2 linked regions of the Oryctolagus cuniculus genome follow. The protein of the gene in region 1 binds, or shares a complex with, the protein of each later gene. Links are inferred from orthologs where the notes say so. Each region holds a gene or a part of one and is shown in the gene's direction. Other genes may lie near its edges.

The links.
Region 2: the proteins of SSTR5 (region 1) and CORT are in contact, whole or in part, in a cryo-EM structure (PDB 8X8L), measured with the Homo sapiens proteins. The link is inferred for Oryctolagus cuniculus from reciprocal best matches to the Homo sapiens genes SSTR5 and CORT. Residues at the interface, in NP_001044.1 of Homo sapiens: Tyr89, Leu96, Gln99, Asn100, Ser103, Asp119, Gln123, Glu182, Thr185, Cys186, Asn187, Ala188, Trp190, Gly198, Phe201, Ile202, Thr205, Phe264, Phe265, Asn268, Asn271, Glu279, Ala283, Tyr286, Phe287, Val290, Tyr294; in NP_001293.3 of Homo sapiens: Cys93, Arg94, Phe96, Phe97, Trp98, Lys99, Thr100, Phe101, Ser102, Ser103.

The regions. Positions count from the first base shown.
Region 1 is NC_091450.1:33,805,972-33,813,398, reverse strand, and holds the start of SSTR5 (somatostatin receptor type 5), read left to right. Parts: upstream 1-3,600; 5' UTR 3,601-3,652; intron 3,653-7,427.
Region 2 is NC_091438.1:157,764,373-157,771,255, reverse strand, and holds CORT (cortistatin precursor), read left to right. Parts: upstream 1-3,733; coding exon 3,734-3,853; intron 3,854-4,664; coding exon 4,665-4,865; downstream 4,866-6,883. UniProt on the Homo sapiens protein: Binds to all human somatostatin receptor (SSTR) subtypes. It also inhibits cAMP production induced by forskolin through SSTRs.

The DNA.
Region 1 (7,427 bases):
CCCCCTGGGGCCCCCGTGTGCCCTAGCGTGGGTGGGGGGTGCCCGCAACCCTCCCTGCTCCTCCCTTCACCGCCCTGGCATAGGGAGCCCAGGTGTGGAGCTGGGAGGAAGGGGTGCTGGGGTCCGGGGCAGAGGGGGCACAGGACGCAGGGGTCCCAGGAATGGGTTAAGCACTTTGTCAGGAGACAGAGGGGCCGGAGCCCCCCGGGAGCCCCAGCCCAACCTCGGTGACACGCGCAGGGGCAGCCAGGCTGAGCCCAGTGAGCAAGCTATGGAGCAAGCCCGGCGGGGCCCAGCCTGCGCCCTCCCGCCTCCCGGCCTCCGCCAGGGCGGCTCTGATCCCACCTGCCTCGTTCCCCGGCCACAGCCTCCCCCGCAGGTCCCCCACCTGCTCACCACTCTGTCCCAGACAGGCTGGCCTCCTCTTCCCAGTAGGGGGTGGAGAGGCACCTGGGCAGGCGTGCACAGGGGTGTGGGCAGGGGTGCCCTGGGGTGTGGGCAGGGGTGCCCTGGGAGTGTGGGGAGGGGTGCACAGGGGTGTGGACAGGGGTGCCCTGGGGTGTGGGCAGGGGTGCCCTGGGAGTGTGGGGAGGGGTGCACAGGGGTGTGGACAGGGGTGCCCTGGGGTGTGGGCAGGGGTGCCCTGGGAGTGTGGGCAGGGGTGCACAGGGGTGTGGGCAGGGGTGCCCTGGGGGCGTGAGGATGGGTGCCCTGGGGGTGTGGGCAGGGGTGCCCTGGGGTTGTGGGCAGGGGTGCCCTGGGAGTGTGGGGAGGGGTGCACAGGGGTGTGGGCAGGGGTGCCCTGGGGGCGTGAGGATGGGTGCCCTGGGGGTGTGGGCAGGGGTGCCCTGGGGTGTGGGCAGGGGTGCCCTGGGAGTGTGGGGAGGGGTGCACAGGGGTGTGGACAGGGGTGCCCTGGGGTGTGGGCAGGGGTGCCCTGGGAGTGTGGGCAGGGGTGCACAGGGGTGTGGGCAGGGGTGCCCTGGGGGCGTGAGGATGGGTGCCCTGGGGGTGTGGGCAGGGGTGCCCTGGGGTTGTGGGCAGGGGTGCCCTGGGGGTGTGGGCAGGGGTGCCCTGGGGTTGTGGGCAGGGGTGCCCTGGGGGCGTGGGCAGGGGTGCACAGGGGTGTGGGCAGGGGTGTCCTGGGGTTGTGAGCAGGGTGCCTTGGGGTCATGGGTAGGGGGGCACAGGGACATGGGCAGGGGTGCCCTGGGTGTGTGGGCAGGGGTGCACAGGGGTTGTGGGCAGGGTGTCCTGGGGGCGTGGGCAGAGGTATCCTGGGGGCGTGGGCAGGGGTGCACAGGGGTGTGGGCAGGGGTGCCCTGTGGGCGTGGGCAGGGGTGCCCTGGGGGCGTGGGCAGGGGTGCTCTGGGGGCGTGGGCAGGGGTGCACAGGGGTGTGGGCAGGGGTGCACAGGGGCGTGGGCAGGGGTGCACAGGGGCGTCAGCAGGGGTGCACAGGGGTGTGGGCAGGGGTGCACAGGGGCGTCAGCAGGGGTGCACAGGGGCGTGGGCAGGGGTTCCCCAGGAAGCTGTTGCCTGCTGGGCCCTGAGACGGCCGAGACCCAGAGGGGCTTCCTGGAGGAAGGGTCATCTGAACTGAGGGCATTCACAGGAGAAACGGAGGTGGGCGAGCCCCAGGCCGTGTCGTGGGTGACGGGAGGCGGCCGGACAGGGCCACACCCCCTCCTTCCCTCTGGGGTGCTCTAGCCTGGGGCTGAAGTCCAGGGGTCACTGGACCGGCCTTTGTCTCAGAGCAGGCAGCTGCACCTGGGGTGTCGCAGGCCCCTGTGGGTCACGGCTACGGTACGGGTCCCCGTGAGAAGTGCCTGGGGTCCCCCTAGGGAGTCCATGTGGCCACTGTCCCGTTGCCATGGCTCCTGGGCCACACCCATCGGCACTGTCTGAGCGTCCCGCCCACTTCACCTAGCTGGATCCTGCCGGCTGGGGTGCGGGAGGGGCTCGGGGCAGCCGGGCCACCTCTGGCCATCAGGGCTCCCGGGGTTCCGGTCTCAGGGGCCCGGGCAGGCTGCTGGGCCGTGTCCCTCCTGCATTCCCAGGAGGCGCCAGCTGTGCCCAGGCACCTGCAGGCAGCGGCAGGTTGGAGGGAGCCCCTGGTGGGCGAGGTTGAGTGGGCTGGGGACGGGGCTTGGGGACCTGGCTGGGGAGCAGGGGTGACTCTCCCGGGGCAGCCCTCCAGGCCTGGCCCGGGAGCGGCCTCCGTGGGTGGGGGGCTGAGGAGGTCAGGGCAGTGTCACCCCCGGGGCCCCCAGCACAGGGTCTCCCCCACAGCGTCTGCTCAGCCTCCACAGCTTCCTGTCTGCTCTCTGTGGCCTCGCCGCTGTCGGCAAAGCCGCCTCGGCTGGACACTGTCTGCCCCATCTCCCCACCCCACCCCCGGCCTCTGGCTGTGCTGGGGGCCAGAGAGCAAGGCAGAGGGGGCTCGGCTCCAGGCACCACTCCCGCCCCCCGCCGCTCGCCGCCCAGGGCCCGTGTGCCTGCTTCTCTCTCCAGCTCCACTGCTCGGTCGGAAACGCCCCCTTTACAAACCGGCCCCGTCGGCTCCGCGGGTTCTGAGCCCGTGGACAGAGCCGTCCATTTTGTCCACAGATGCTGCAGGGGGCTGCTGGGGCCGGGTGGGGGGCAGCTGCCCTCGGCTTGCTTGTCCCCTTGTCCCGTTGTCCCCTTGTCCCCTGTCCCTGGCCAGGTCAGAGGCCAGAGGCCCCGGCACTGCAGCGTCAGCTCCAGGGCAGGCACTGCGCACCCTGCCGGGCAGCAGGGAAGAAGCCAGGGACCAACGAGCCGCCATTCCCCGAAAGCCCCCGACCCCCACAACAGACCCCCCCAGGGACCCAGCCTCCTGGGAGCCGCCAGCACCCGTGGGCACCACCCCAGGGCCTGGCCCGGAGCTCCCAGCCTCGCCCAGCCGGTCTCTCCCTGCCCACCCTCGGCTCCTGTCCACACCCTCCGGGCCGCCTGCCCACACTGCAGGTGTCGGCTGAACCCCGCGTACTCCCAGGAGCCCCAGAGAGCTGGCGGGAAAGCGAGACCCCCGCGAGGGCCAGAGCCGGGCAGGTGCCCGAGGTCTCCAACCCCACCGCCGTCCCCGGCACAGCCCCTGTTCATCCGCGAGAAGCCCGAGTGCCCGGTGCTTCTCCTGGGGCGGGCGCACCCCATTTTCCCTGACTCCGGCGGGCGGCAAGAGTACGCGCCGGGGCCTGGACCGTTAGGAGGAGCCAGCGCGACGCACTCCGGAGTCTGGGCGCCGCGGGCCGCCAGGCAGGTGAAGCTCCCGGGCCCCGCCCCCGGGCCCCGGCCCCGGCCCCCGCGGGCGCCCCCGCCCCACGGCCCCGCCCCCGGCCCCCGCGGGCGCCCCCGCCCCACGGCCCCGCCCCGCCCCGCAGGCGCCCCCGCCCCACGGCCCCGCCCCGCCCCGCGGGCGCCCCCGCCCCACGGCCCCGCCCCCCCCGCGGGCGCCCCCGCCCCACGGCCCCGCCCCGCCCCGCAGGCGCCCCCGCCCCGCCCCGCAGGCGCCCCCGCCCCACGGCCCCGCCCCGCCCCGCGGGCGCCCCCGCCCCACGCGCCCCGCCCCGCAGGCGCCCGGCGCCCGGAGCGAGCGCAGCACCCGACCGGCTCCGCGGGCCGCCGCGCAGGTGAGCGCCCCTGCCCTCGCGCGCGCGGGGTCGTGGCCGAACCGCGGGGACCTGAGCGGTGGCCCGACTGGGGGGATTCCAGGGCTGGGGAGGGTGCGGGCAGCGGGGGCCAGGGCGAGCGCCGCAGGTTGTCCGGTGGGGCGGGGGGGGGGGGGCCGTCCGCGGTTGGGCGCGAGGCGGTCGGGTGTGCGCTGACCGCCGGCTCTGCCGGCCGCCGGGAGGGCGCTTGCACCCTGCAGCCCCCGACTTCCGGGCAACCCTCCCGGGAAGGGAGGGCGCTGTGGACCGTCACAGGGTCCTGGGGGCCTGCTCGCCGCCTGGCGCTGCCTGGGGGCCCGGAGCCCAGCAACCCGAAGGCAGCGGTGGTTCCCTGGTGTCTTGGGAGAGAATATGGGGGCGGGGGGCCCGGCGAGGACCAGCGGCCGGCCTCGGGTCTGAAACGGTGACCGGGGTTTCCAGAGTGCACGGGCTGTGAGGTGCTGGGGTACTCAGGCCAGCCCACCCCTGCCTCAGTTTCCCCTTGTGGGGAGGGTGCTGCCGCTGACTACAGGCTGCTGAGGGCCCCTGGGGTGTGGGGGACGGGCTAGGGGTTGCCATGGCTCCGACCCAGAGGTGAGCCCCGCAGCGCTCAGTGGGCTTGTGCCGGGAGGGGGCTTTTCCGGGAGGGGGCCTGGGCCAGGCCCTTGGGTGGGGTGGAGCCTGGTGTCTGAGGCAGGAATCCCCTCCACCTTCCCCGGGGACCCCGCGTGGCCCCCTGGTGGGGTGTGGGCCCCAGGGCGAGATGCTAGGCCCAGAGAGCCGTCTTCAGCCTCTCCAGGCTGGGCTGTCCTGCCAGGCCAGCGGGGAGGGGTGGCCCGGGCCCCAGCTGGCCCTGCCCCCAGGGCCCTCTTGAGGGGCCAGAGCCAGGGGCGGCGCTGGGGGGTGTGCCTTGAACTCCAGGCACCGCCCCACTCTCTGCCCCCTGCCCAGGTTCGGCAGCCCCCCCCCCCCCCCCGGCAGCCAGGCTCAGGGACACAAGGGTTGTGCCAGGAGGGTTGGGGGGGCAGCCCAGGGTCCTGAGTGTCAGGGCGGGTGTGGGGGACCTGCTGGCTGAGCACAGCCCTGCGGGGGGGCTGTCTCCCAGCCAAAAAGCCCCTCCCCCGGAAAACAGGTGCAGGGCCCCGTCTGAGTGCGGCGGCCCCCTCGCATGGCCGTGCCCCCCGCAGACCTGTTCCTGGGCCCGGTTGCCCTGAGGTCTCAGAGCCGCAGGAGCCTGGCCGGTGGAGCCGGGGCCTGGACAGCGGAGCCAGGGCCTGGCCGGTGGAGCCGGGGCGCCGGGAGCTTCTGCCCCTGGGCAGCCTCGTGTGCCAGGACCTGCGTGAGGAGCCCCCCTCGGGCCGTGCGTCCTGTCTGCCTGGACCCCCACGCCGCCCCCTGCCCACTGCACAGCCACCCGGCGGCTCGGCCTCATCTGAGACCCCTGAACTCTGGTTTCTCCCCTGAGCTTTGTGTTTATTGGAGAGCACAGGGACACAGAGTTCCTGTCCCTGGTTCACCCACAAGTGCCCACTGCAGTCACAGCTGGGCCAGGCCAGAGCCCGAGCCGGTGCCTCCCACGGGAGTGGCAGGGCCGTCAGCGCTGCCGCCCAGGGCGCCCGGCAGCAGGGAGCAGAGCCGGGCTGGAACCGCATGTGCTCCCGGAGCGGGTGGGGTGCCGGGCCAGCTCTGCCCACCTCCGCCCGGCGGCCCCTGTGGGAGCAGGCTCCAGCCAGACCTGCCCGCCCCTCGCCCAGGGCCACGGGGACTCCTGGGCGTTGCCTGGAAGTTGGTCACCCCCAACTCCCACCTCGTCTTTTTAAGCAGAGATCTTGTCTCACCCCACCTGTGGGAGGCCCCCACAGCCCCCCAGGTCTGCCCAGCCCCTCTCAGGCCCCCCACAGCCTCCCCAGGTCTGCCCGGCTCAGGCCCCCACGGCCTCCCCAGGTCTGCCCAGCCCCCCACAGCCCCCCCCAGGTCTGCCCAGCCCCTCTCAGGCCCCCACAGCCCCCAGGTCTGCCCGGCCCCCCACAGCCCCCCCAGGGCCGGCTCAGGCCCCCCACAGCCTCCCCAGGTCTGCCCCGCCCCTCTCAGGCCCCCCACAGCCTCCCCAGGTCTGCCCCGCCCCTCTCAGGCCCCCCACAGCCTCCCCAGGTCTGCCCTGCCCCTCTCAGGCCCCCACAGCCACCCCAGGTCTGCCCAGGCCTCGCTCAGGCCCCCACAGCCCCCAGGTCTGCCCGGCCGGCTCAGGCCCCCACAGCCCCCAGGTCTGCCCGGCCCCCCACAGCCCCCAGGTCTGCCGGCTCAGGCCCCCACAGCCCCAGGTCTGCCCGGCCGGCTCAGGCCCCCACAGCCCCCAGGTCTGCCCGGCTCAGGCCCCCACAGCCCCCGGGTCTGCCCGGCCGGCTCAGGCCCCCACAGCCCCCGGGTCTGCCCGGCCGGCTCAGGCCCCCACAGCCCCCAGGTCTGCCCGGCCCCCCACAGCCCCCAGGTCTGCCGGCTCAGGCCCCCACAGCCCCCAGGTCTGCCCGGCCCCCCACAGCCCCCAGGTCTGCCGGCTCAGGCCCCCACAGCCCCCAGGTCTGCCCGGCCCCCCACAGCCCCCAGGTCTGCCGGCTCAGGCCCCCACAGCCCCCAGGTCTGCCCGGCCGGCTCAGGCCCTGTCCGCTGCTCGGGCGCTGTGCACCTCCCGAGCCTGACTTGTGTATTTCTTCGTCCAAGTGACTACTTTTCACACTCAAGGTTTGTACTTTCAGGAAAGACACCTGCTCGCTGTCCCCCTAGGAACCGGGTTTATGTCCTAGTAGCTCGTCCCTGCCTCTCCTGAGGCACCCCGGCGTGGCGCGATTCAAACATTCATTCATTCATTCATTCATTGGAGACCGAGCGCCTGTCCGCGGGTCGCTCCCACTGCCACACCCACTCCCACTGGCACCCAGACGCGGAGCCGTCCCTGCAGGCTCCCAGGGAGCAGGGAGCAGGGGTGTCGCGGGGCAGCCCTCGGGAGCGGGGCGGGGGCGGGGGCGGCGGCTGCCGTGGGGAGGTCGAGCCTGGGCTGGGCCCTGCGCGGTTTCCGTGAGAGCTCCAGACAGCCAAGTCCCACAGTGGCTGAGACGGGTGCCCACCGCGTCACAGCTGCCTGCGGCGCGCGGCCTGGCACACGTGACCCCCATCTGAGGGACGTGACCTCCGACACTCATGACCCCGTCTGAGGGACGTGACCTGACATGTGACCCCCATCTGAGGGTTGTGACCTCTGACACTCATGACTCCTAAGGGGCATGACCTCTGACACGTGACCCCCGTCTGAGGGTTGTAACCTCCAACACTCGTGACCCCATCTGTGGGGCGTGACCTGGCACACGTGACTCCCGTCTGAGGGGCGCAACCTGGCACACGTGATTCCCATCTGAGGGGTGCAACCTGGCACACGTGACCCCCATCTGAGGGACGTGACCTGGTACACGTGACCCCCATCTGAGGGGCATGACCTCCGACACTCATGACCCCCGTCTGAGGGGCGTGACCTTAGACACTCATCACCCTGTCTGAGGGGTGTGATATGTGACCCCCGTCTGAGGGGTGTGACCTCTGACACTCATAACTCCTAAGGGGCATGACCTCTGACACATGACCCCTGTCTGAGGGGCACGACCTGTGACACACGTGACCCCCGTCTGACAGGAATGTCCTCTGACACACATGACCCCTTTCTGAGGGGCGCGACCTCCAACACTCGTGACCTCTGTCTCTGAGTGGT
Region 2 (6,883 bases), on another chromosome or scaffold:
GCAAGGCCCCTCGTGTTGGCAGTGGTGTCTCTTCCAGCTCCGTGTCAGGAGGAGCTCAGGGAATTGGGCCCCGGGCTCCCCGGGGGCTGGCAGATCCAGACGGGCACCCAGGTCCGGCAGCTCTGGCAGCTGTGTTCACTGGAGAAGCAGGGCTGAAAATACTCGGCATTGGAACACATCCTGCCTTTTATGTTTCTTGTCTCCGTGAGGCTAGAAACGGTGAGCCTGAGTGTGCCGGCGTGTCTCATTAGCATGTCACAGAGGGCGTCTCCCAGGTGCCGTGAGTTTAAGATTCGCTGATTGATTTGAAAGGTAGAATGATGAGGCAGGAGAGGGTTTCTTCTGCCCTCTGGTTTGCTACCTAAATGGCCACAACAGCCAGGGTTAGGCCAGGCTGAAGCCAGGGGCCACCTGGGTAGCAGGGCCCAAGTGTTGGGGCCATCTTTGTGCTGTCTTCCCCAGGCACGGTAGCAGGCAGGCGGGATTGGAAGTGGAGGAGCCAGGACTTGCAGCTGCTGTGCCACAGTGGCTGCCCTGGTATGGGTATTTTGATGGGATTTTATTTTTCCTAGCTAGTAAGAAATCTGACTTGTGTTGTCATTCATGTAATATCTTGGTTTGACGTTTATTTGTTACCTACTTACACATTTTATTTTTAAGAGGCTTTTATTCATTTATTTGAGGCAGAGTTACAGAGAGAGGGAGAGAGAGAGAGACAGAGGGCTTCCACATACTGGTTCACTCCCCAGATGATTGCGATGGCCAGAGCTGGGATGATCTGAAGTCAGGGGCATCTTCCAGGTCTCCCACGTGAGTGCAGGGGCCCGAGCACTTGGGCCATCTCCCACTGCTTTCCCAGGCCATAAACAGAGCCAGATCAGAAGATGAGCAGTGGGACATAAACTGGCATCCATATGGGACGCCAGCGTCACAGGCACAGGCTCAGCCTACTAAGCCACAGCACCGGCCCCCTCATATTTTAAAAAGTTTATTTTCTTGGGGTGAACGCTGTGGCATAGCAGGTTAAGCCACTGCCTCCAACACCGGCATCCCACATGGGCACTGGTTCTAGCCTTGGCTGCTCCTCTTCTGATCTAGCTCCCTGCTAAGGAGCCTGGGGAAGCCTCAGAAAATGGCCCAAGTCCCTGGGTCCCTGCCACCCACGTGGGAGAGCTGGAAGAAGCTCCTGGCTCCTGTCTTCAGCCAGGCCCATCACTGGCATTGCGGCCATCTGGGGCGTGAACCAGCAGGCGGAAGACTCGTATTCATTCTTCTCTCCCTTCTCTCTCTAACTCTTTCAAATAAATAAGTCTTTAAAAAAAAAAAAAGTTTATTTTCTTGCTTTGTTTGAAAGGCGGAGCTACAGAGATCTTCCACTGATTTGCTCCTCAATAGCCAGAGCTGGGCCAGGCTGAAGCCAGGCTGTCGCACCTGGGGGAAGCCAGGGAGAACCCCGTATGGGTCTCCCGTGAGGGTGGCTGGGAGCCAAATACTTAAGCCATCATCTGCTGTCTCCCAGGGTGCACCTCAGCAGGAAGCAGCATTGGAAGTGGAGGATCTGATCCCGGGCCTCTGGCGTGGGAAGTGGGCATCCCTAGGGGTTTAACCTGTGTCACTGTGCCTCCCCAGGACTGAGCCTAGAGCCTCCCACCTTGTAATGAAGCTCTGCCCAAGCTGCAGCCAGAGCCCTCCTTGGCACATTCCTATACTGGAAGTTCACTTGCCTCTCATGTGTAGTGAGGGTGGCCTAGCACGTAGGCTGTGGCAGCTGTCAGGGTGTGGGTGGCGTGGGTGCTTTGTGGTGCACGAGTTCTGTGTACCTGCTGGATACCCAGGTGTTTACCGAGTCCACCCAGTCAGACCTGCGCATCGCACCGAGGGTCTGAGAAGCTGGCTGAGCTGCCCTGACGTTCTCAATGGCAAGAATTCCCCAAATGTCAGTGTTGGGGCCGGTGCTGTGGCACAGCGGGTTAATGCCCTGGCCTGAAGCGCCGGCATCCCATATGGGCGCTGGTTCAAGTCCCGGCTGCTCCACTTCCAATCCAGCTCTCTGCTATGGCCTGGGAAAGCAGTGGAAGATGGCCCAAGTCTTTGGGCCCCTGCACCTACGTGAGGGACCTGGAGGAAGCTCCTGACTTCGGATCGGTGCAGCTCCTGCCATTGTGGCCAACTGGGGAGTAAACCTTGGATGGAAGACCTCTCTCTCTCTCTGCCTCTCCTCTCTCTGTGTAACTCTTTCAAATAAATAAACAAACAGTAGTTATTCATCTTGGTATAGAAATAAAGTGTAGACGTGCAGTGTAGACGTCATGGGTATTCAGGCCGTGCTGACTTTACCTTGAATCTTAAACAAAGGCCAAGGGGACTGAGGTTCAAGACAGGTCTCCCTCGGGAAAGGGGGTGGGTGATTCAGACCCTCCTGGCCGTCTCGCTTCAGAGAAGGGCTCTGCGTTTGTCTTGGTGAATCTGAAACCAAGCCCTGTGGGGAGGCCAGGAGGTGGGTCAGGACTGCACATTCTCACCTCCCAGAGGTGGCACTGCGTGTGGGAGGAGAGGGTCCTGGGAGCTGGCCAAGGAAGGCTCGGGGGGAGATACTTTCTCAGATGGTGACAGGTGGAAGGTGTCCTACCAGCCTGGTCACTATATGTGAAACATCTGCTTTAAAATAAAAAGTACTCTTCATTTGAAAGGCAGAGATACAGAGAGAGAGAGAGAGAGAGAGAGAGAGAGAGAGGTCTTCCATCCACTGATTCACTCCTCAAATGACCACAATGGCCAGGGCTGGGCCAGACCCAAGCTAGGAGCCAGGAGCTTCTTCCTGGTCTCCCACATTGGTGCAGGGCCCCAGGCGCTTGGACCGTCATCCACTGCCTTCCTAGGGCACTAGCAGGGAGCTGGATCGGAAGTGGAGCAACAGGGACTTGAACCTGCGCCCATATGGGATGCCGGCACTGCAAAGGAGCAGCTTTACCCCCTGGCCACAAAGCCGGCCCCGTACGTGGGTTTCTGTCTCATCGGAGAAGCGAAGTGCAGCGCCGTGACCGCGAGAGGCTGCTTGGTGGCAGCATGGAAGGCACGAGAGCCCGGCGCTCCAGGGCCAGTGTCACCTGGGAGCCCGTCACTGCCCCTGCCCGCCTCTGAATCTGCACTTAGTGGTTCAGGTACACTGTACAGCTTGAGAAGCCTTGGCCCAGAGTGGGGCCGGGCTGACGGCCGGGCTGGACACCATTGCGTGGCGTCCCGGCCCGCCGTTGGGTGAAGGTGTGGGTGCTGTCGCGGTGCCTGGGCCCTCACTGCCTCCTCGTTTCTTGTGCGCACAGCAGATTCTGTCACACTTGGTATGGGCACCGTCTTTACCATTTGCAGCTCCTTGTCCAAGACTAATTTTGTGTTACGTTAAATCACTTGCTTTGTGCTCAGCTTCCTGCTTACGCACGGGCACAATTAGGAGACGGGAAGCGTCTTCAGAAACACGCACGTGCTTTCCAAAATAGGGGCAGCTTCACTCCCGGCACCGGCACAACCTGAGGTCGCCAATTAAGGGGCTAAATCCAGTCCCAGGGCGTTCTGCGCCCTGATTGCTCTGGCTCGTGCGTCACGATACCGGCGTGAGGAAACAGGATACAGGTGGGAGACGCGTAGACAAAAAACAGCTGGCGCCCGGACTTAAAACACCCCCAGTCTGCAAAGAGACCCAAATCCAGGAGACGTCGGTGCCAGCGCCGTGAGAAGCATGGGCCGCCGCAGAGCCAGAGGAGTGCTGCTGCCCCCCGGCCTGCTGCTGCTGCTGCTCTCGGGGGCTGCGGCCACGGCCACCCTCGCCCTGGACGGCGGCACCGGCCAGGACAGCCAGGTGAGTCCAGCCGCCCACTCCCCTGTGCGACCCCCAGCATCTGCATGGCCGGGCATGTGTGGTGGGGGGTTGAAGGACACCAGACTGGACTGGGCTGCCCTGTGGTACTGGGATGTCCCCTGCAGGCAACTGATGGACACTCGGCTTACTGGGGACCACTAGTGACATCAGAAAACCTCTGTGACACACGGGGCACCGGGGAGCCTGAAGTGGCCTCCCCAGCCGCGGTGGCGCGTGGTCAGCCTTAACTTGCACACGGCACGCGCTCTCGCCGGTGCACATGAACCATCACCAAGTGTCCGTTGTGAGGATCCGCGACTTCCTGTGGTGATTTATTTCTCTCTTGTCCGTTTTGAAAAAGTTCCAAGAAAGACTACATAAAGTCGACCATTAAAAATGGATTTTTCTCTGAAATTGCCGGATGAGTTTGAGATGGGCCATCCGTCAGCAGGCTGCTCGGAGCAGTGTCCCCACCCCGGTGTCTCGGAGCTGCCACTCACGGTGCACGGGGAGTGACAGGTGTCCCGACCCTCCTGCCCCAGGCCCGGGGCGGAGCAGGCGCTGTCTGCACTTGCCTGCTTGCCTCTGGCACGGGGAGTGACAGGTGTCCCGACCCTCCTGCCCCAGGCCCGGGGCAGACTGGACGAAGTCTGCACTTGCCTCAGGCTTGCCGGCTTTGCCCTCCGTCTAAGGGGCTCCCTCAGCCTTCCCAGCCTGGGGCGGGGAGCGCCTCTCCATGTTGAAGGGCCTGCGAGTCTGGGGGCCAGATTCCTGACCTCTCTCTCCTTTGTCATCTGCCTCTCTCTGAAAGCCCACGCAGGAAGGGGCGGCGGCGGAGCAGAGCGGGCTCCTGACCTTCCTGGCTCGGTGGCACGCGTGGACCGCCCAGGCCCGGGGCACGCCCAGCCGAGGGGACACGGGGGCCATGTCCAGGCGGCAGCAGGGTCCGCCCCCTCCGCCGGCCCCGCCCTGCCGGAATTTCTTCTGGAAGACCTTCTCCTCCTGCAAGTAGCTCTCGCTCGCCCGCGGGGACCCCTGGAAACCGAATAAAATATGATCAGCAGAGTGGGCGTGAGCGGTGTTCTTTCCCAGCTGCCCCGGGGCCTTGGCGCGCCGGGCTCACCGCAGCTGGAGCAGTTTGGGATCCAAAGGAAATGCTGCTTTCTGGTGGCGAGCAGGGCGTGCTCAGTGCCCCCCCCCACCTCCCGTCTTCCTGTGGTTTACAATAGCCAAAGGCCACCCCCCCCCACCTTACAGAGTGACAGCGCGAGCTCTTCCATCTACTGGTTCACTTTCCAAATGGCCAGAAAGGCTGGGCTGGGCCAGGCCAAAGTTGGGAGCCTCTTCCAGGTCTCCCACGCGGTGCAGGGGCCCAGGGACGTGGGCCATCCTCTGCTGCTTTCCCAGGCCACAGCAGAGAGCTGGAGAGGAAGTGGAGCAGCTGGGACTGGACCCTGTGCCCGTATAGAATGCTGGCCACAATGCCGGCCCCAAGGCCACCTGTCTAATAAGAGGTCAGAATAACGTTTCAGTTGGTTTTGATACAGATTCTCTGAAAAATGCTTCCCTCGCATTCAAAGCAGCTTTTCAACATTGTGTTCAAAGAGCAAAATATTCATGTTGTAGCCAAAATTAACCTTAAAAATATTTGAGAGATATTCGGACGGAGAGACAAGGGCCCATCCACTGGTCCACTTCCCCGATGGTCGCGGTGAGCAGGGCTGGGCTAGTCCAAAGCTGGCAGCCAGGAGCTCACCCAGGTCTCCCCCAGGGACCCAACTGCTGCAGCCACCACCTGCTGCCTCCCAGGGTGTGCAGTGACAGGAAGCTGGGCCCAGGAGCCAGAGCCGGGAATCGAACCCACACACTCTCATATGGGGTGCTGGCATCTTAGCCACTAGGTCAAACGTCCACCCCTCTAATTAAATTTTTAAAGGATTTTATTTATTTATTTGAAAGGCAGAGTTACAGGGAGGGAGAGGTAGGGACAGAGGCAGAGAGAGAGGTCTTCCATCACTGGTTCACTCCCCAGATGGCCACAATGGCCAGAGCTGCGCCGACCTGAAGCCAGGAGCCAGGAGCTTCTTCCCAGTTTCCCACACAGGTGCAGGGGCCCAAGGACTTGGGGCATCTTCCATTGCTTTCCCAGGCCATAGCGGAGAGCTGGACTGGAAGAGGAGCAGCCAGGACTGGAACCAGTGCCCATATGGGATGCCAGCACCCCAGGCGAGGGCTTTACCCACTACACCACAGCGCTGGCCCCTCTAATTAATCTTGAAACTGTGCCATTAAACAGCACCGTGCTGACTTGATTATAAAAGTGACCCCTGAACTTGCTGTTAGGTGCTGGTTTTAATCAGTGACTTCATTTGTTAGTGATTTTCACAGGTTGTAGCTTAGATTTGCCCTGAAGTTTATTATTTCGTTCATTCTTTCTTTTTCCAAGATTTATTTACTTGGCAGGCAAAGTAACAGAGAGAGGGAGAGACAGACAGGTCTTCCATCCACTGGTTCACTCCCCACATGGCCATACTGGCAGAGCTGAGCTGATCCAAAGCCAGGAACCAGGAGCTTCTTCCGGGTCTCCCACGGGGGCCATCTTTACTTTCCCAGGTGCATGAGCAGGGAACTGGATCGGAAGTGGCGCAGCCCACATGGGATGTCGGCGCTGCAGGGGGTGCTTAACCTTCTGTGCCACAGCGCCGCCCTGGCGTTTATAATTTCAAACCAGATACGGGGGCAGCACTGCTGCCTAGCCTGTACCTTGCCTCCACTTCCTTCTGAAGTGTATGTATTTATTTTAAAACTGTATTGATTTTGAAAGGCAGACAGACAGAGACTACCTCCCATCTACTGCTGGTTCACTGCCCGAAAGCCTGCAGCGGCCGGGGCTGAGCCAGGCAGAAGCCGCCAGGAGCCTGGGCTCAGTCCGGGTCTGCGGTGCAGGTCCTGGAGCCGGCACCTGCTGCCTGCAGGGCGCACGCGCAAAGCACAACGCTGGCAGGACGGGTGCTGGGACTCCGGCTTGGG